Caenorhabditis elegans: one gene and its partners. The protein of the gene in region 3 interacts with the protein of the main gene of each other region in a pairwise test. Each region holds a gene or a part of one and is shown on either strand. Other genes may lie near its edges.

The links.
Region 1: the proteins of unc-42 (region 3) and ham-2 interact in a two-hybrid assay, tested with the Caenorhabditis elegans proteins (one large-scale study listed by BioGRID).
Region 2: the proteins of unc-42 (region 3) and mec-3 interact in a two-hybrid assay, tested with the Caenorhabditis elegans proteins (one large-scale study listed by BioGRID).

What each region holds. Positions count from the first base shown.
Region 1 is NC_003284.9:4,552,743-4,559,933, reverse strand, and holds ham-2 (Zinc finger protein ham-2), read right to left. Parts: upstream 5,250-7,191; 5' UTR 5,241-5,249; coding exon 5,081-5,240; intron 4,436-5,080; exon of another isoform or gene 4,292-4,435; intron 4,002-4,291; exon of another isoform or gene 3,560-4,001; intron 3,192-3,559; exon of another isoform or gene 3,053-3,191; intron 2,823-3,052; coding exon 2,649-2,822; intron 2,601-2,648; coding exon 2,329-2,600; intron 2,279-2,328; coding exon 2,096-2,278; intron 2,004-2,095; coding exon 1,860-2,003; intron 1,369-1,859; coding exon 1,123-1,368; 3' UTR 526-1,122; downstream 1-525. UniProt on the Caenorhabditis elegans protein: Probable transcription factor that acts downstream of egl-15, to promote migration of the HSN motor neurons from the tail to the gonad primordium during HSN cell differentiation.
Region 2 is NC_003282.8:10,458,291-10,463,549, forward strand, and holds mec-3 (Mechanosensory protein 3), read right to left. Parts: upstream 3,578-5,259; 5' UTR 3,477-3,577; coding exon 3,399-3,476; intron 3,004-3,398; coding exon 2,953-3,003; intron 2,812-2,952; coding exon 2,696-2,811; intron 2,646-2,695; coding exon 2,573-2,645; intron 2,272-2,572; coding exon 2,020-2,271; intron 1,948-2,019; coding exon 1,834-1,947; intron 1,791-1,833; coding exon 1,577-1,790; intron 868-1,576; coding exon 800-867; 3' UTR 526-799; downstream 1-525. UniProt on the Caenorhabditis elegans protein: Transcription factor. Specifies differentiation of the set of six touch receptor neurons (TRNs).
Region 3 is NC_003283.11:9,764,011-9,771,305, forward strand, and holds unc-42 (Homeobox protein unc-42), read right to left. Parts: upstream 5,347-7,295; 5' UTR 5,260-5,346; coding exon 5,209-5,259; intron 5,156-5,208; exon of another isoform or gene 5,018-5,155; intron 4,340-5,017; coding exon 4,225-4,339; intron 3,743-4,224; exon of another isoform or gene 3,670-3,742; coding exon of another isoform or gene 3,657-3,669; intron 3,521-3,656; coding exon 3,433-3,520; intron 3,023-3,432; coding exon 2,842-3,022; intron 1,136-2,841; coding exon 1,079-1,135; intron 1,029-1,078; coding exon 853-1,028; intron 807-852; coding exon 635-806; 3' UTR 524-634; downstream 1-523. UniProt on the Caenorhabditis elegans protein: Probable transcription factor. Required for initial outgrowth and pathfinding of axon growth cones along the ventral nerve cord (VNC).

The DNA.
Region 1 (7,191 bases), on a different chromosome or scaffold from region 3:
GACAAGGGAGAGTCACAAAAAATTATCTAAATATTAATTCATTTTCGAGAAATATTTTAAGCATCTATTCTGCAATAACATAGATTTGACTATTTTTGGAGTTTTATATGGTTTTAGAATACTTTAAATACACTCCTGAGAAATTTTGAATAACAATTGAAGCCAAACACAAGTTCGTAAGTATTTCATCTAGCAATTTTTCGTTTTGATGTAAGAAAACGAAAGCTGCAAAAAGGGAATCAACTAGTACGAAATTTCTTGAAGCTGAAGTTTTAGACAATCGACTGAGTACATCAGGAAGAAATCAGAAATGAATCATGCTCAACCTTTCACTATGCTGATTGTGACGTCTAGTGGGTCGAAAAGGTAAAAATGAATTTTCACATCGCTTCACCTGAAAGCACATTACCCTCTGAAACGGGTTCAGTTTTGCATTCAAACAAAATGATGTTTTATGCGAGGATAACATCATCTTGTGAGAGTTTCGTTTTTGCTAGTTTTTTGTATGGCTTATTACTTCCTGCATTTTGAACTTTGAAAATTATTTATCACAAATATAATGAAATGAAATCATTGAGGGAAGGAAAAAGTCAAGGCGGGAAAAAAGGGTAATGCTATAAAAGTCAAGAAAAGGACCAGAAGAAATAAAAAAGGAAACATTTAGAACAATGAAGTAATGTAAAGGACGTTCTAGGTAAATCGCTGAGTGCATTTAAGGCTACGTTTTATTGAAGCTATTGCAACAAAAAAGTAAAGTAGATTCGGATTGTTTGGAAAATGTCCACCAGTTTCTAAGATTGCGGTAAATACAATTGTCAGGAATGAGAGCACTCTGATTTTTTTTGGAAGTTTGAAATATTTGGATGCAAAGATAAGAAGTAGCTACGAGAATAGGCATTATGTACAAAGATATAAACGACAATTAGTTTAAAAGCCAACCAAAACCGCTTTAAAAGCTGTTGGTTCTTTGATTCAGAGTATTTCGGAAATTGCTCAAAGGATTGTTGTATTTCAATGGCTCAAAATGCTGATTAGAAACAAGGAATGAAAATGACTACGTGGTTCAACTAGATTTGATGACACCATCAAAATCGGAAATAAAGAAATTGAAATCGTTTGGATCTAGGGAACCACTGAGGGACGGTTCATGTGAATCAAATTGTTCAACAACATTCTCATCGCAGGATTTTGAAATAGATTGTTCGGCCCTGGAGATGGCATAGGCATCATCGGAGGAGGCAGCATCACGGGTGGCATCGGATTCGGTTGAATTTTGCGGAGGAAATCCACTTGAACTTGCAACTCTCTAATGGTCTTTTCATAGGCACGACATTTGTCCTCAACTGCAACAAGCTTCCCTCTGGCTACCTGAAACATCATAAACTTATGTAAATTATTAAAAATATCAGTGGGTGGGGGATAACTCAGTCGGTAGTGGTGGCCGCTGAAGAACTACAGGTCACGAGTTTTTACAGTGCGCGCGCTTCTTGTAGGACACCCCTAAATTTGTGAAGCATTGGAATACATACAATTCTTCAGGAAAATTTTTTGTGATATTTGGAATCGAGTGTGTCAAAAAACCTCGAATCCGTTTTCATAAATTTATCATCACAATTGAAAGCACCCGTTTTGCTATAGGACCCTGAGATTTTAACCAGCTGAAACCTAGCGTGAACTTGAAAGTGGAGCAGTCCATGACTGGATTATCAAACTTAACCTAAAGACTAATCATATCACCAGAAGTACTGTACCTAATTCCCAGATTCTCTTCACATAGCGCTCGCAAAATGGATGGTTTTTTATTTTTTTTTTTCATATTTTAAATTATAATTCAAAACCATTTAAGACAACTTCCTAACCTGACAATCAAAGCATTTCAAACTTTCGCCCGAATGACTAGACGATCCACCACTGATGTGAGAATCCGAAACCGTTGGAGAAGGCTGATCATGGGAAATGTGGATGTTTTTGTCATCAATCGTCATTTTCAATGGTGGTTCGCCCTGAAAATTTTGAAAGTTTCATAATATGACATATTAAAGTTTAATGGGGTGAAAAACAAATTTTCCTCAAAATTTCAATAAGTTTTCCTTACATCATCGCCTTCCACATCAATATCAGCATCGTGTTCCAGTTCTCTTTTGAAAGTTGGTTCAGTCTTGACAATGACTGACCGAGGGCTGACATCACTGCTTTCCACTTCAAATTTGATGTCTTCTTCAGTTGTCTGCACTTCTAAGTCGTCATAATCGCTAATATTAGAAGACTGGATGGAATCCTTAAAATGTAATACATTTGAATTCAAAACATCAAAGAGTTGTAACGTACTTTGGACGGTGTTTGTTGCGCTGCCAGATTAAGGGCCGCCGTGTTGATGGGATTGTTGGCAAGCCACGCTGAGAGGAACTGTGAAGGACCCATGTTAGAAAGATCCAGGGGGAACATCGATTTGGAGTCGGGGCTTTTGAGCAGTGTCGGGAAAATGGATCCAATGTTGTTATTGTTTGCAGCAACTTGTAACATACGCTTTTGCATCAACAAATCAGGCGAGAAGGGTGGAGACTGACGCGGGGAGCCCGACTCGGATGTGCTATCTACAACTGCAAATTTGTATTAATGGATTTCAAAATTTGTGGGTAGATCTTTACCATCTGAACTCTTAGCTAAAACAGCCGCTTCCCCCGGTGTCCCATTTTTCAGCATACTCTGCATATGGATGTGAAGACTTGTTTTGTCGGGAAAAGCCCAATTGCAACACCGACACATAAACATTCGGGTAATGTTGTGTACTCGATACATGTGACTGCGTAGTGTATCGTTGCCTGCAAAATTGTTTCTTAAGGTTTCCTAATGACTGAACAGTGAGAGCAGTGCCGGCTCATTTCGCACTCATTTTATTATGGTAATTATCAAATACTATTTGAACCCTTCTCCAGCTTTTGAATTCATGTCTCAATGATCTAAATATTTGTCGAAAGTAACATGTAAATGGCTATTTGCCAACCCCAACTGCATTGCTATTTCCATATTCCACTTAATTGCCATTCTTTGTGCCACCGAGCCTAACTGTCTATCAATCAAATGAAATTCGCAACATTGGGACACTATACGCGCGCCCGTAAAGGCATGTTAGGTGCCAATGTGACGAATGTTCTACGACGACCCCCCTCATTTGCATGTTTGTCTGAATTTGAAAATACGCACTATAGAAAATCTATAGAATAGCGGATCTTGCCTACCGACAAAGCAGTAACACAAAAAAAAACGACAAACGCAGGGGTCAGGCTGTAAAACATTTTCATGTTATGTTTCGGTATTCTACTGGTTGATCCGCTTATTGTTGGATTGCGCACGAGTAATATAACAAATCCTGTTGATCTGCCTGCTAACATGCCGCCGTATGGATTCCACGTATAGGCGAGCGGTGAAGTAAGGTGTGAAAAAAGCTGGGTGCTTTGGCCGAAAGTTTCTTGAACGACCCCCATGCTCAGCGAACCGTAACAAATGATTGACGGCGAGTGAACAACCAATAAATTGTAATGTTGGAAAGGTGGTAGAAAAAGAAGAGGTTGCAATTTTTGTTGCGGAAGATGGGGAAAGAAGACAATCGGTGGTTTTTTTTTTACTTTGCCCGCGCGCTGGCCCTATTCTTCGCTCTCAAGCTCACTTAGCGACAGTGGCGTGCCAACAATTAGCTGATGGATGGTCATCAAATGACTGACCTTGGAGGTTCATCCTACCTTCCATTCCAAGAAAAGAAACCATTAAGTAATACATACATACCGTCGGTTATTTATGCCTCTCGCTCTCTTAGGAAGCCGCTCGGGATGGAAAGATGGGGCAATTAGACAATGCAAATAGCAGACGTGTTATTGTAAAACTGTGGCGTAATATGGTCAGAGGTGTCTTTTCAAAAGATTCTTGCACAAATATTAGAGTCAATTTGTTATTATTTAATACATGATACTGCTTTCCATTATAGCTGGAGACGCTCCAGTGGGAAATTGAAAAAAAATAACGCCGAATTTGCCAAACGACGCTACAAAAATTTTTTGAAATTTTTAATTTTGTTTTTAAAATTGGTAATTACTTTTTTGAAAGTCGTCGATAAACAGTCGCCTACATATTTTTCAAATATAAATATTCAAACATTGTAGAGATCCGAACATGCGGCATTGCTATAGTTTTCTCGAAAAGTGGCAAGAACACAGTTATTGCCACTTTTTGACTGTCAATAATGTTGGTCATTTTGGCTCTATATAAGTGGATGTTAACCATTTCCCCACTGGCACTACTCCACCTTTAAACTTTTTGCTACTAGTCCAAAAGTGCACATGGTTGTTTTAAAAGCTTAACAGATATTACTAAATAGATACTCCTAATTGACAGTCGGAGCTATCTCGGTATTTGCACACCTCCTCATTCAGTTTGCCATGCCATATAGATGTCTACAATTAAGAATACAGTAGTAGTTGGAAAGGGTGTCAATATTTAGATAACCAATGTAATTTTTTGGCGGAAAGAAGGAGACTGTATCAACCTTGTTTGACACATGCCCAATATAGCCACGTGCTAATCGGAGGGTGTGAGTTGAGTTTAAGCTTGTCAGTAAACAATGCCACTGAGCTTTCGCGCATTTCAGATTATGGAGACTTCCGATCAAATAAATGTATTGGGAGGGAGATTAGAAAAATGTAGAAATGCAATAAACTGGTAGAAGACAGAAACTAAATGCAGCAGGAAATAGAACATTCGTTCAGAATTTTAATTCAATTTTGAAAAAATAAATTAGAAAGTTAAACATCACCTAGAACCCATAATTTTTTATTTTTAGATTTTTAGATCAATTTTAAATTTTCAATAGAATAAGTTCCGTACAATTCAACAATAGCTATGTTCTCGAGTTAAGTTTCCCTCTCTTTTTTCTTATTATCATATGATAAAACATGATACAAAACTGTGAAAACATCAATAGCGGCATAAATTGTTTCGCTCTTTCTCCCCTATTGTTAGTCAAGCTCCTGCTACTCTGATTCATCTATTTCTCTTTTTTTTCTCAAACTTGCATTTTCAAACTTACTTGGAATTTCGTTGTTGCAAGTGGTACAGGTGTAGCTTTTAAAGTGAGCCTGCATCCGGTGACGACTCAGAGACGAACTGTGGCAGAATACTTTTTGGCAAATCGAGCAGGGAAATGAGCCTTTCAAATCGGGACGTTTTAGCTCTGCACGATAGGGCATTGTCTAAAAATGTTTTTGTTATTTGATGAAGCTTTTAGAAAATGGTGCTGAAATTTTCACAAAATCGAATTTGAAAGGAAACACTAACAAGGAAGAAGAAAAAAACGGTGGACAGTTTGAATGAAAGAGCGCTCATAGATGAACAAGTAGGATGGGCTACCAAGACCTCCACTACTTGAAAAGTTTTGCGTACAACACTCGAAAAGGTATTCAGACGCAGCTCTTCTCTCCGGAGACAAGAAGGTCGTCGCCGGCTGACACCAACCAGGTATTTACACCCTCACTTGATACTGTTTAAAAGTAGCGAAAAAGCATACATAGCAGCGATTGGACAATGCATTACAGTAGCTCAAGTATGGCGGGGAAGGTAAGAGTGCTCGAGAGGAGGAAGTGAGAAAATAACAGAACATTCAAAATCGAAATTTGTCACACGGCTTCTGCAATCTTAAAATGAATACTACAGTAATCCGGTGACCTGTGCTCTTGGACTAACAAAATGGCAAGCAGTAGTGCAAGAACGAGCTGAAGGCTATGACTCCCCCCGCCTACCCGATTTTTGGAGGCGGGGCATACCATGCAGAATAGAGATAGTGAGCGACGGGACGCACGGGGTGAGGGGAATGGCATCAAGCACAGTCGGGATAGTAAGTGGCAACAATTTTGGCTAGCAATTGCGAGTTGATTAGCTTTCTCAATTTTGAAAAAAAAAAGTTGGAAGCGAGTCTTAGATAGAAGCACGATGCTCTTAGGAACAGATGTGGGCAAGCTGTTCAAGCTTTTTTTTAGTATAGAACACAAGCGAATAACAGTTGGGAAACTTCTACCAAACACGGCTGACCCAAAAAAAAATAGAATGACGCGAGGGATACACCAAAAAAGCCCTCAAACCATAGACAGCATGATTGCTTGAGTTGAGGATTGCGCGCATCTTCGATTCTCGTGTTCTTTTTTCTTATTGGACGACCACAACAAAACCAGTTTTGTAAAATTGATTCGGGTTGCGCAATGCTAGAATAAACTATCCAACATCGCTATTATATTCGAATTTTTGTCTCTCTCTCGCTCCCGCTCCCCCTCTCTTCTGACTGCCATTCGACCCCATAATCACACAATGCTTTGAGGCCGGTTTTCTCGATCCGCATCAACAAGTTCAACTATCTCTATTCAATGTGCTATTTTAATTGGGCACACACTACCAAAATTTTGAAAATGTTGAGTATGACTGTTGAGTTTCTATCTATCTGTATTATTTTTTTGGGCCTACACACGCCGCAGCAACTACAGTAATTGTAGAGCGGTGACGGATAAGAGTGTGAATCTTACCCCGTTGAGATTCTCGGCACGAACAGGGATTGGCCTTGGCCGTGTGTCCAGGCGCTCGTATAATAAGGATTCACCTCCTCCCGCGTACAGGTCGCGTTCCTTTTCTTGACGGCTACATAATCAGTAGCTATCATAGCACATCTTGCCTTTTCCCGCCAAATGTCTATCTGGTATATATCTCCGAGAGAAAAGAAACAAGAGGCGAGTAAGGTAATGGAGATATAGCGAATGGATAAGAAAACTGTTCCATATACTACATCAAAAGACAGACAGGTGAACGCAAAGTGACAAGAGGTCTAGGTGGGCAAGTAGGAGGAACATATGAGAAAAAAGGGAAATGGAAATGAACATTTTTTAGAAGTTTTCAATTTTAGCAGGACTAACAGGTATTGGAAAGAATGTTTGAAGAACCTAGGAACATACTTTTATGGTCCACATATTTGCATCAATTAGACATTCAAATAGAGAATGCTCCTATTCATATATGTATTAGCATATTACAATTGTTGCGATTTTTAGTTTTTGGACTTAGTGAAATGGTTCAAAACCACGCCTTTTGTGCTAAAACGTCTAAGTATCATAATGAAACTTTTGCAATATTTAATAATATTTAGAGTCGAAAAGCGGA
Region 2 (5,259 bases), on a different chromosome or scaffold from region 3:
CTGAAAGTCTCAAACGTGTGCGTCATTGGCTAATTGTACTTCAAGGGGGCTGGTTTTAGATGTTGGAAAATAAGCTAGTAATTACAGGTAAAACTAATATTTTCTCGTTCTGGGGAAGGAAAGAAAAAGTGTGGAAGTTGCGAGGAAATAGTTCACTTAGCTCAGTAAATTAAATTGTTTCTTTTTCCGAGGAACTACAACCCGTAGCAAAAACCTATTTAGTTATTGGAATAGGTATCACGAAGGCGTTGACAAAAAAACACACCTACTATATTTTAATGCTGAATTTTCAAGAAGTTTCCTCCATTAATTTTTAAAACTATTTTTATACAATTTACACAATTCTTTGACGGAAACATTAATTATAGAGTTACATAAGTCTTTTACAAGGGTTCGAAAATCTTTTGAAAACCAGCTAGTTGAACCGTTTTCTTTTACGAGGAAAACAAATCTTATTTCAATCAAGGTGACGGAATAATTGAAAATTTTCTCGTTTTTAAACCAACAAACCCAACACAAAAACGTAGCATTTAGGATTATTTTTGAATCGAGACAAAGTGTGAGAATTTTTAAGATTTCGTGATTTTATGATTCATGGACAATTAAAAATGGAATCATTGAGATCAGATTATCGACTGACATTCAATTACTTATTCGCGCAAACGTGAATATTTGAACAAGTTCAGAACACAAGTTTTGGCAAACATGTAATGAAATTCAAGATTTGGGAAGGAAAATACATTATGAAATATATATATATAAATGGAATATATTGTTTTAAAAATTAAAAAAATCTTCATCAATCTTCATCATCTTCCTCTTCGAAATTTCCGCAAAACGCGTTGAAGTCAGTTGTGTCCATTTCTTCTGAAATGAAAAAAGAGAATAAAAAAAAACAAGAATGCAAGAGCAGCAAAAAGTTCGAAAGAGCCAAGCCATTTGGTTTGTGATTTATGACGTGGCAACTCAAACTTTTCTGGATTTTTGCTTTCTGTGCGTATTCTGGTGTACTGCCACATCAGTGTTGCTTAGATTTTCGAACAAGACAACAGACAATAATTGGAAACGCGTTATATATAATTATAGGGAAACTACTCAATAATTAAACATCATGAAATTCGAAGAAAAAATTCTATGAAAATAGATTTGAACAATCAAAAATGAATGATTGAGAAACTTTAAATACAGAAAATTAGAGAAACGTGAGACATGTTTCCCTGCCTAAGCGCCTATCTATTGCCTGTTTTATGGAGTTTTAATGGAGTTTTCAGTTATAGCCGGAATTTCAGTGAACGGAATAGATTTACGCATGCTTTAAGACAGTAGGTAGGCATATGTGTAGGCACGAAACAGGCACTTATCGCCACGAAAGAAGGTAGTTTTTTTTCATCTATATAAATTATTTGCTTAGAGATTTCGGATCTGAGTTATGAACAAAGTCCGATTTGAAAAGTTTTAGTGTCAAACTTAATGTTTATGCAACAAAACAACTTGTTAAAATGTTTACTAGTCACTATCTATTTTTTGAAATTTCAGAGCTATTACTGCGTTTTCCAGATTGAATCTTTAAACTAACCATTTCTAAAATGAATTGGCGGAGGAATGAGCCCACGTTGCTCATAATGTCTCAAGTAATTGCACAAATGTTTGAGCCTCCGTTCCTTACTTCTCCGGTTTTGGAACCAAACCTGAATTACTCTCATGCTTAAACCGGTCTCCAATGCCAATTTGGCTCGAGCATGTTTCGACGGCTTTGGTGTATTCGAGAACATTTCATTCAGCACGTCCAACTGAAAATCATTATGAAAATTTCCGCTTTCTTACATTGTATACCTGATTTTGTTTGATTGTCGTTCTAGGTCCGCGTCTTTTTAGCATTCGTGAATCATCATCACAGAAATCGGAAAAGCTATAATGCTCAAAGTTGTATCCATAAGCGTCAACCTCCTAAAAATTAAATATGCAGTACATTATTCGGTATTTAATCCCTTTAAACTTTCAACGAAAAATAAAGTATACCTTTTTAACTTGGAAAGCTGATGAAAAAGATTCATCAATTGGATATGGGGCAATTGGATTTTCTGTCGAACAAGATGGTATATCAACTGCAGATCCTATTGCTCCAGGTGCGTTGTCATCCATTTGAGGAGGATAATGTGACATACAGGATACGGTCATCATTGTATCGTCAACAAGAATTTGTTCCCCCGGTGATAAATGCCGTCCACACAAAGAGCAACAATGACATTCCACATGGAACACGAGCCCAGCCTGTAAAGTTCTTTGAGTCAAACTTTACCGATCAAAGCCCCAAGCTCTATGCTTGTGCGTCTAGCAGGATCCCGTCAGAGCAAAGAGCAAAGCGTAAAAAATGATTACATCTTTCAAAACTATTAGTCAAAGCTTTGGTTTTTTTTTTAATTTGAAATTGTAGGCTTTTTGAAATCTTTCGGGCATTCCTACTGTTTATACAAAAGTAGTCAAAAATTTAATTGATAAAAAGTTGACAACTTTTTGTATAGGTTCGCTCAAAGTTTAATGTTTTCTTAAACATTCTGACCCAATTTAATACCTTCAGTTTATATACCATATCTGTCGGTGACACTCCTTTCTTGCAACCCGCACACCGATGAATACTGTGATCCCTGAAATAATGTATTTTTATTAATTCCAAGAATATTTTGCTAAAGCTTACTTATAATAATGTTGACTACAATAAATTCTCCCATTTTTCCAAAAACACTTTTCGGCCAGAGGAGACTCACATATTGTACATTTGACACAATTTTCGTGATACGATCGATTGTCCATCTGAAAATAAATGATGGCTGAAATCTTGAAATGTTGTTCGAACTATAGAAGCAAAAGAAAAATATTCAAGATTTTGAGCAGACTGTTTACAGAAGCAAAGCAAAGAAAGTTTGAAAAATCCACAAACATCAGCAAACTTACTCGATAAATATAACGATCATAAATTTGCTCATTGCAGCAATTACATTTGTTCTAGAAATATTTAAAAAAATTATAGAATGTTAGACACAAGTTTCACTAGAGATCGTATCGATAAAATGAGATTGGAAAATAGAATGAATACCAACCAAAAGTTTACACGATTGACTTTCAGAATCTAACTTTCAGAATTTTTAGAAGATGCGGTAATTTTACTTGACTCTCTGAAAGTCGAACAGAAATTTTCCCTCGTGCGGATTTTGTATAAATTTCAAATTGGAATTTCTTGACACGCAGAAGTCTTTGTAAAAACTTTCAAGCAAATGCAATGTAAGTTTTCGATTGATGTTAATTTCATTTTTCTGACTCTCAAATTGTTACTTTTAAATTTTTTTAAAGAAAAATTGTTTTCTGATGAAATTCACAACTGCTCAAGTTTAATTACTCACCTGATTTTCATGATCAACTCCAATTGAATCAATAACCATACTAATCGCACTGAGAGGCTTTGACTCTAACATTTCCATAGTTCAAATGAAATAAATCAGAAGAACAAATAACAGTGAAATTTAGAAGAAAATGCGCGAAATTGTGGCTACTCACTGTAACAAATCACCCGTCAAGAGCCAGATGTCATGTAGGCGTGGCATGCCAATCCAACAGGAGTCTCTAGACCCTGATCGATTATTAATGTGCGCTAAAACTGGTGTCTCCAAATGGTGACGATAATAGATGCATTTCTTATGAAGCTAGAAAGTGTGTGTAAGGATAAGCACTAAAAAGTTGTCTAGTTGGAACGGGCTCTCTCTATCGATCTCCTGACGGTCACTTGTGTTTTTCGGTCGATTCATTATGGGCAATGCATTTCGAATGAATTTGTTGTTTTTTCAAATGTTGTGTGAAGAATATATGGAAAGGACGTTGTAAAGTTTTATAAAAATTTGAATTTGAATAATCTTGTTCTATTACTCCATAGTTACAAAAAAAAGGAACGGAACGGCGGTGGAGAGTTTCTGACTATGCTAATTATTGGAAAATGTTATACTTGAGAATTCAGATTTTCTATACAACATTAAAAATTATGGTATGGACGTCTTCATTACTGCCAGCCTACTACTTAAAAAAAGCTTTTACAGTGAAGTTTCACCCAATCTATAGTTTGGGAGGTAAAATTCCGCGACATTTCAGTAGGTGGGTGCGTGTCTTGGCAGGAGGCATGCGTAGGTATCCTTAAAATCATATCGAATCATTTGCTCCAACTCGGCATTTGGAGGCAACTTCCTGCCAACAATTTGGCAACTTATTTTAGTGGCACTAAATAAGTTGCCAGGTTGTTGGCAGGAAGTTGCCTCTGAATGCCGAGAAGTACAAAAACTATCAGTATGTATTCATTGTTTGTTAAAAATTGAAATGCAGTCCAGAGAGTTTTCAAAATCATTTCCAAATTGTGAGCGTAACTACTCAGTTGTTGGTGTGTTTCGCTTATTTTCTCCTTTCAACTGGGTTTTTTTTTCAATTTATGTTCATTGATATTTCATGAGTTTTAATTTTCGTTTTGATTGACAGTACGGAACTGTCACAAGATAACAGTAAACCTGTCAATAATGTTAAATTTGATCTTTGTAGAAATGAAAGTACTAATTTAAATGTAAATATTTGCATTTGTGAAAAATAGAAGCCAGAAAATGAGAAAATGAAACCAAAAGTCATTTTCTAAGTAAAACGCGATATTAGAGGCTGCTGGGCAGAATTCCAAGAATTTAGAAAATTGCAGAAAACATTTGTTTTGATAAATGTCTTTAGGAATGAAATCTCAGAATACGCCAAGTTTTGCATATTTTATTATCCTTTTACAAAGTAATCAACCAGATTGTATTAATTGTTATTTCGCAACTAACAAAACCCCTCGTTTCAGTGCTCATTTTGAGTTTTAGTCAATTTCTACTCCCTTATTTGCAACTAACCATGCATATAACTGATAAAATAGGCAGATGATAAACTTGTCACTTTATTTGTTTTACAGAAATTAAAGACCCAAAATCACAATGAATGCTCTAACTTCTGCGCGTTTTTATCAAGAAACAGACTGTGTGTGATGACACACCAGCTCGGTGATAAATCAAAGAAAATGAGATCATTTTTCGTAGTTTTCCTTGAATCACAGAACTGGGCAGAAGCCTTATTCACGTGAATATGAGCATGATACGGTATTAGGTACACTTTCTGAAAAGATGAAAAATTCAATTTCTGATGAAACACATTTCTTCCTGATAAGGTAGTGAAATGGCCCCAAAAGATAAAATTTCAAAA
Region 3 (7,295 bases):
TCATAGAATCACGACTAAGATTGTCCACAACGATTCACCGCCACCAAATTCTATTAAGAATTTATCTTGTTCCCTAATGGAAACAAAAAAATTCCTTTTAAAATGGGCGGTTCATGTCATTTTTATTTATTATGTTTTGTGATAACAATACCAGAACTACTGAATGCAGTGTGCTGAGAACGAGTACGCTACTGAATGCAGTGTGCTGAGAACGAGTTGGCCGCGCCGTAGGCGCGGTCAGCGGCTGGTAACCACATAAAATACGAAAATCATTTTTTTTTGGTGTTTACTCAAAATTTCTCTAACAAGACAAAACCAAATAGAAGTGATTTTGTGACACGCGGAACGGGAAAGGATCCGGATATTTAATACAGGAAGAAGGCAGATAAGTTTTGTAAGATTGTATTTATCATCAGTCGCGTTAAACATTCCATTTCGTAGACTTCCCACTCCTTTGTGATATTTCTCAACATTTTTATTGGAAACCGTTGTCTTTTTGTAAATGTACGTACCAACATTAGTCTATCAGTGAGATCTCTTTATTATTTGTTCAATTGATTTCACACGCAATCATAAATTATTGGATTTTCTGTTAACTTTGGAGATTAGAAATGTCTGGTTGTAATGTTAATGACTAGATTGAAGGAGGGTTGGTACTAGCTTCAGATGGTTGTGTCTGCTGGTAGTTAATATTAGCAAGTGAGGTAGCAGCTGTAGCGGCCGATGGTGTCGTCGTCATTCGAAGTGCCAAACTTTTCTGGTAGAACTCGTCGTCAGCTTGGAAAGAGGTGATGGAATGACCGAAACTGAAATTAACGAAATATTTATCCCACAGTAAAAAGACGAACAAACTTTGCAATGGGATTAGTGAACGAGTTGGAATATGAAGGAGAAGCTGTTGGGTATGGCATTGGTCGTTGATATGATTGATACCAAAAACCGTCACGATTCAATGCAGCTGGGTACATTCCTTGTCGCATCAAAGTATTCGCTGGATTGGATAGGAATGAGTGCGGGGGATTGATTGCCTGTAAATAACTTTTTTGATGAATTCAGAATATATTCGTCATCTTCCTACCTTATTCAATTGTTTTTCATGCTTCCGATGTTTTGCTCGCCGATTTTGGAACCACACCTGCAAACAAAATTGGATTACTCGAGAAATTAGTGGGGAGTATGAGTATGATCAAGTCAGATCTAGAGGGATGGAGTAGAGACAGCCAGGTGGCAAAACTGTTACGCAATAAGTAAAGGAAGTGTGAATACGCTACAGTAATCCTGAAATCCTTACATCTAGAAACAAGATATCTAGTAATACATTAGTGTGTCATTGTTTTTTTAATTTTACGAATTGGAGTCAGAAATGTATTTAAATTTATAATTCTACGTTAAACATTGTATTTAAAATTATCAGGGAAAAATGAATAAATGTGATTTTGGCGCAATTTAGTAATTAATTAAAAACGCAATTTAGTATTAAAATAATGTATACTGTTGGGTATATACGACAACCAAATTCTACAAGATTGTATGTAAACAAATAATTGGAGTATTTATTTCAGATTCTACAAAGTTCAAAAGTATCTTAATACCCACACAATCCAACCAAAGAAAGTTTTTAAAAGTCACGTCATAAAGTATTACTGTCTCCGGATCTTTAATCCTTCCTTTCCTTTTCTGTTCCTCGCTACACTCTCTTTTCTTTTTATCAAGTCCCTTCATTTCCTTTTTCTGTATTTCTAAATGTTGATAGACTGCTCAAGAATAAGGGAAAAGCTGTGGTGAGGAAGGATATTGAGAAAGCGGCAAAGGCAGAGCATAATTCAATTTGCTTGCCTCCTAACAAAGACGCCGATGTTGGAAGAGAAGAAGACGATGGGTTACGGTAGACTGGTGATAGAGAGTTTCTTTTGAACAAGAGTTTTAGAGATTCAAAGGCACTAGTTTTGAGTTGTTATTATTATTATTATGAATATTTAAAAAAAAAGGATACCGTATGACGGATATGGAAGTAGGTAGACAATGAAAAAAATCAGAAAGGGTGAGAAGTTTTAAGCATGTATCATTGAATCTAGGCAAAGTTTTATTTGTTTTATTAGAAAGTTCAGAGAACTCTATAAATAGAAAAAAGTTCAGAGAACTTTATAAATAGCAAAAGATAACTTACATCAGTAGATCGCAAAGAAAACAGTCAGAACTGAAAGCTTAATCACCAAAAAATAGAAGCTTATTTGAAGTCAAAGATGTGCTGAAAACATTATTGGTAATTCCACAAAACCGTCAATTTAGGAACGATAACCCATCTTTTCAGCACTAAGAAATAAAGCTCGAAACGCAGAAAAAAATCAGATTAATTCGAAAATTATATTCAATTTAGTTGAACAATCCAAAAAACTATTACCGGCTGAACATTGTCGTTTACCAAATATGTGTGCATTCTTTTCTCTACAAACGGATACTTCAAAGAAATTCCTTCATCAAACTTTTCAAGATGGTTTTTAATCAATTATATATTATTTCTGTACATCTATGTTAATTTTTAATTTTAAAAGTTGTATAAGTTCCCTATTATGGCAGATTGACTTTTTTGTCTCAATTTGTTCTTCTCAGCTTCACAAGCTCAATATCTAATCCCTACCAGATGTGTGATGGTGCGTGGTGGATTTAGCGCACAGTAGGTGACCAGGAGGTGGTAGACAACTATCCAAAGGCAGCAATTAACGCGAGATGAATACCAATAAGAAGTGAGGAAGAAGATAAAGAATATGAAGAAGAGAAAGAAACAACAAATTAGAGCACATGTCTCACAAATTGAGCATACAGTTTAATTTCGAAGCTCACCTGTATTCGAGCTTCATTCAACTTGGTGATCCTTGCCAATTCCTCTCGAACGTAGATATCCGGATAGTGACTCTTTTGGAATGCAGCATCAAGCTCCTGAAGTTGTTCCTGAGTGAATGTCGTCCGATGTCTCCGCCTGGAATTGAGACGCTCTGATTCGGGCCGTTCTAGGCTACACAGCCTGCAATTAAGAAAGGCCGTGGAGCACTAGGTGGGTGGGGGAAGGCAAGAAAATACGTGAGAAGTACGGTAGAGTTTGTTGAAAATTAACTTGACTATTGATAGAAATTGAAGATATGAAAATATAGGCGGCACAAGTCAAATTTTGGCTCTTTCAAGTTGTATAATTATATTTGGCTTTCTAAATTTTTAAATTTGGCCAAATAGTGGCCAAAAAAATAATAAACGCAAACATATTTTGTCAAGGGTTTGGTAAATAGCCAAATTTACTTTTAAAAAACTGGGTTTTTGGAGTAGTTTCAATAAATGAAATCTAGATAACTGCCTTATTTTGACATTGAATACCTACATACATCAAATCCCTTCTACATCTACCGTACCCCTATCTTCCAAAATATTAAGAATACTCACCTTGCAGGCGTGTTCGTGACCCCAGCAATCGAAGATCCAAATACCGAGCCACCGAGTCCTTCGGTTTTAATCTTTTTGAAGGCGCCATCTGCAACATCACCAGTTTTAAGGCTTAAAAATGGAAAGTGGGCAGATGTTCGGAGGAATGCAGAATTTCGAAATTCTTAGTGTGAATTGCAAGGAATAATCAAAGAAATATGACACCCTTCTCTACATTGTCTTACCATAATAATACATTGTTAGATTGAGTTGTTAATTCCTAAATCTGCTCACACAAGTACTAAAATAGTAAATAAGAAGAGAGACACTTCGCGCACAAAGTCAAGACTAGTGGATACAATAGAACGGATGGATAAGAGTGAGCATCTGGCAACAGGCGTCATAATTGGCTCGGTGGCACATGCTCCAGAGATGTGAAGTACCATTGAGGAGGGGAAGAGCAAGGCGGGGGGACATGGTAAGGGTATCAGTTGTACTAACACAGCATGATACCTTTGGCGGAAGCTATTGCGCAACACTAATAAAGAAAACACTTGAAGTGGTTTTTGCTGAATCTTGGGATAGGTGAGAATATCAAACGAAATAATAAGAGAAGCTCAGGGTCAGAAGGACCTTTTGCTCAACCTAGAAGGCACTGATGCAAGGAATGAACTGGCATGCGGACGACGAAGGAGAGACATCAAATATGATTCCGCAAATCTGATATATTCTGATGTAATTTTGTTCGCCTTGCTAAAGCGAAGCTCCTCCCTACCAGTGTAGAAAAAAAGAAGATGGAATGTAGAGACTAACCTGATGATGGATCCGAAATTGGACGAAGACTTGCCGAGACTGTATCCAAAGAGCTCGGATAGTAGGCAGTGAAATCGTGAAGAGATACTCCAAGATCTTTCACTTTTTCTTGGAACTGAAAATATAGATCATGATGTAGGTTCCAGTAGAACGTTTTTATACTAATGTAAGGTGAATTGAGGAATCTGTTGGAATCGATTAATGGAAGGACGGTAATAAGGAAATCCACAGTAACACTAGAACTTTAAAGTAAAACATAACGCCAAGAAGACTAATAAAAATTCAGTGACTTAACAGTTTTTCAGCAGAGATTCTACCGGCTTAAGATCTATTTTTCAAAATGTTCGGTTCCACTTACAAACTAATATAAACTAATACAGTTGGTTTTTTAACTTTTTTGTGACTAAAAAATCAGACATCAGTGTCGAGGTATTGTATGATCATTATCTAGAACCCCGTCCAACATTAGCTTCTTTAGGATTGAACACACCAAGATCAGATCTTTAGCGGTGTTTGTGGTGGGACTTTTAGTTTTTTCAAACCCATGTCTAAAGTTATTTCTTGTGAATTAAATTATTGATGTCCATGGTACGGTAGTCTGTGATTTTGATTTTAACATCAATTAAAATGGCGAGCTGAACAATAATTCTAGGGAAATTGGAGGCGAGAAAAGTTGGAAGGCTATCGATACCAGCTCCGGAAGACAACTGAGGAGGTTTGTGTGTGTGTGTGCCACTGATCGTGAGAGCATCTAACAATCAAATTTCCATAATGAATTTATGAGGGGAAGACACACACACACTTGGACTCCTCCCAGTCGTCTTCCGAAAAACGACAACGTCTTCAGGAGACGAAGAATATTGTGCGCGCCAGAAAAGTTAATTATGGAGCTCTCGGCGACGACCGACGGCGCCACCAAATCGTATTACTGTTTATTTCGTTTGCGTCGAGGGCCTCGGAGACTAGAATTAGTTAGCAAATTACCTGTGAGACAGTTGATGCTCCGTTCGCACCGTTCAGCAGATTGTCGCTCATTGTGTGAGTGAAAGCGGAGAAATGTGGAAAGTGAGGGGTGACCGAAGTCGTTGTCGACGTCGTCGTGGAGGCGGACAGGGTTGCTTCTGAAGAGAGGGGCAGCTGACTGGTCGCCGTCCGCCTCCGGCTGCTCCTCCTCCTTCACCACCGGCCCCAACCACCGTACCCATCTTTCCGCCAGAAGAGCTAGGTAGCCACGCCTTCTTTTTGATTTGGATTGGTTTGAGAGAGTCAAGTAAATTAGATTATTTGACAGCTTCTTCTTTCCGTCTTCTTATTCTTCAACTGAGCTTCTACACTTAACGGCAACGAATTCAGTGATCGGTGGAGAGCGAAAGCTATAATCGAGTTTGGACGGACTCTGAAGCCGGGTGGCGATAATCGCAATTAGAGAAGCAGTTCAACTGGCGAACCCCACACGAACACACGGACTAAATCCAAATTGGGTTGGAAAAATTGTGGGTTCGATTTGAAAGGGGATTTAATTTGTGGTTAAACTAAAATACTCAGTTACGCTAAAAATAATTAATTGAATTATTTAAACGTAGAAATGCTGCGATATGTTTAAAAAAAGGGAAATGTAATCAGAATGTTTGTAGTCATTTAATAATAACAATAATAATAATTTATTACGTTCTTGAAGAAGCGTGAAAAGAAAAAAGATGATACATACAAAGATTCATGTCGGAGGGTGGACTGGGAGATTATGGGCAAAGTGAAAGAACCTGAGGCGTAGAAAAAGAGCATGAGAAGGAGTAGGATAAAAAAACAGGAGATATCATAGGATAGTAATGAATGAATGTTATTGATCAAGAGTAGATGTCGTTCGTTTCCTAACTTAGTTATCCTTGTTTAAATTAGATAAAAATTTGAGGAATGACGGTTGGCTTAATGTTCTGTTAACGAAGAAATGTTTCCTAATTTTAAATTTACATCTGCTCCAAGAGAACTTTCTTTTACAACGCGTTCTAGTGTTGTCCGAGAAGGTAAAAAATTCAGGTACTTTCAGATCTATTTTACCGTTTAACATTTTCAAAATCATTTTTTTATCGGTTGTCAGACGTCGTCCTTGCAGCGGTGTGAGCCCAAATAATTCATTTCTTTCTGTCGAGGTTTTATATTCCGGATCACTTATTGAGACGTATTTGCCTACAGTCCTACTATATAGACGCCTTGTGAACGAATTTTGAACTGCCTCGATGGCTCCTATATCTGACTGCTTTGGTGGGCTACTTATAACGGTTCCGTACTCTAGCAAAAGCACAATAAATGTTTTATATAATAGGATCATCAGCTTTGGTTTGTTACTGTTATAATGGTTAAAAATTTGTGACATTTGAAATTTCGAGGAATTAATAGCCTTTTTCCAGTGTTCACTAAAATCCAGATTATGAGAGATCATAAAACCTAAGTCACGTGTCGTTGACTCTTTTTTGATATCCTGGCCGTTTATCTTATAAGTGAAATTTTGGCGTTTTTTCCCTATCGTGAGATGGACGGTTTTTTTGTTCATTAAGAGCCAATTTGTTACTGACGGACCAATTTGCTACTCTGTCTATTGCTTCTTGCAGACTATTAATCTGGTCGCCTTTTGGCGTGTGTACATACAGCTTGGTGTCATCTGCAAACTGCTGCACTTTAACATTTGCGGGCAGTATTGTTGGGATCTCATTAACGTAAATTCCAAAAAGAACTGGTGAGAGTACAGCGCCTTGCGGAACCCCACATTTAGCGTTTTTTACAGTAGATAGTGTATTTCCTATTTTAACTCTAAATGTCCTTTCTATTAGAAAACTATTGATCCAGACTATGATATGTTTATTCAGTCCCAGGCGTATCAGTTTATTGAGGAGAATGTCGTGGGGAATTCTGTCAAATGCCTTGCTGTAATCTAAATATGACGTCAATTTGGGCTCCCAGATCTAGGTTGCTTGTCCAGTCATTCAAACTATTCATCAGATTAGAGATCGTTGATTTTGTAGGTCTGAACCCATGCTGGTTCTCATTCCAAAAATTGATTTCTCTAAGATACGGTT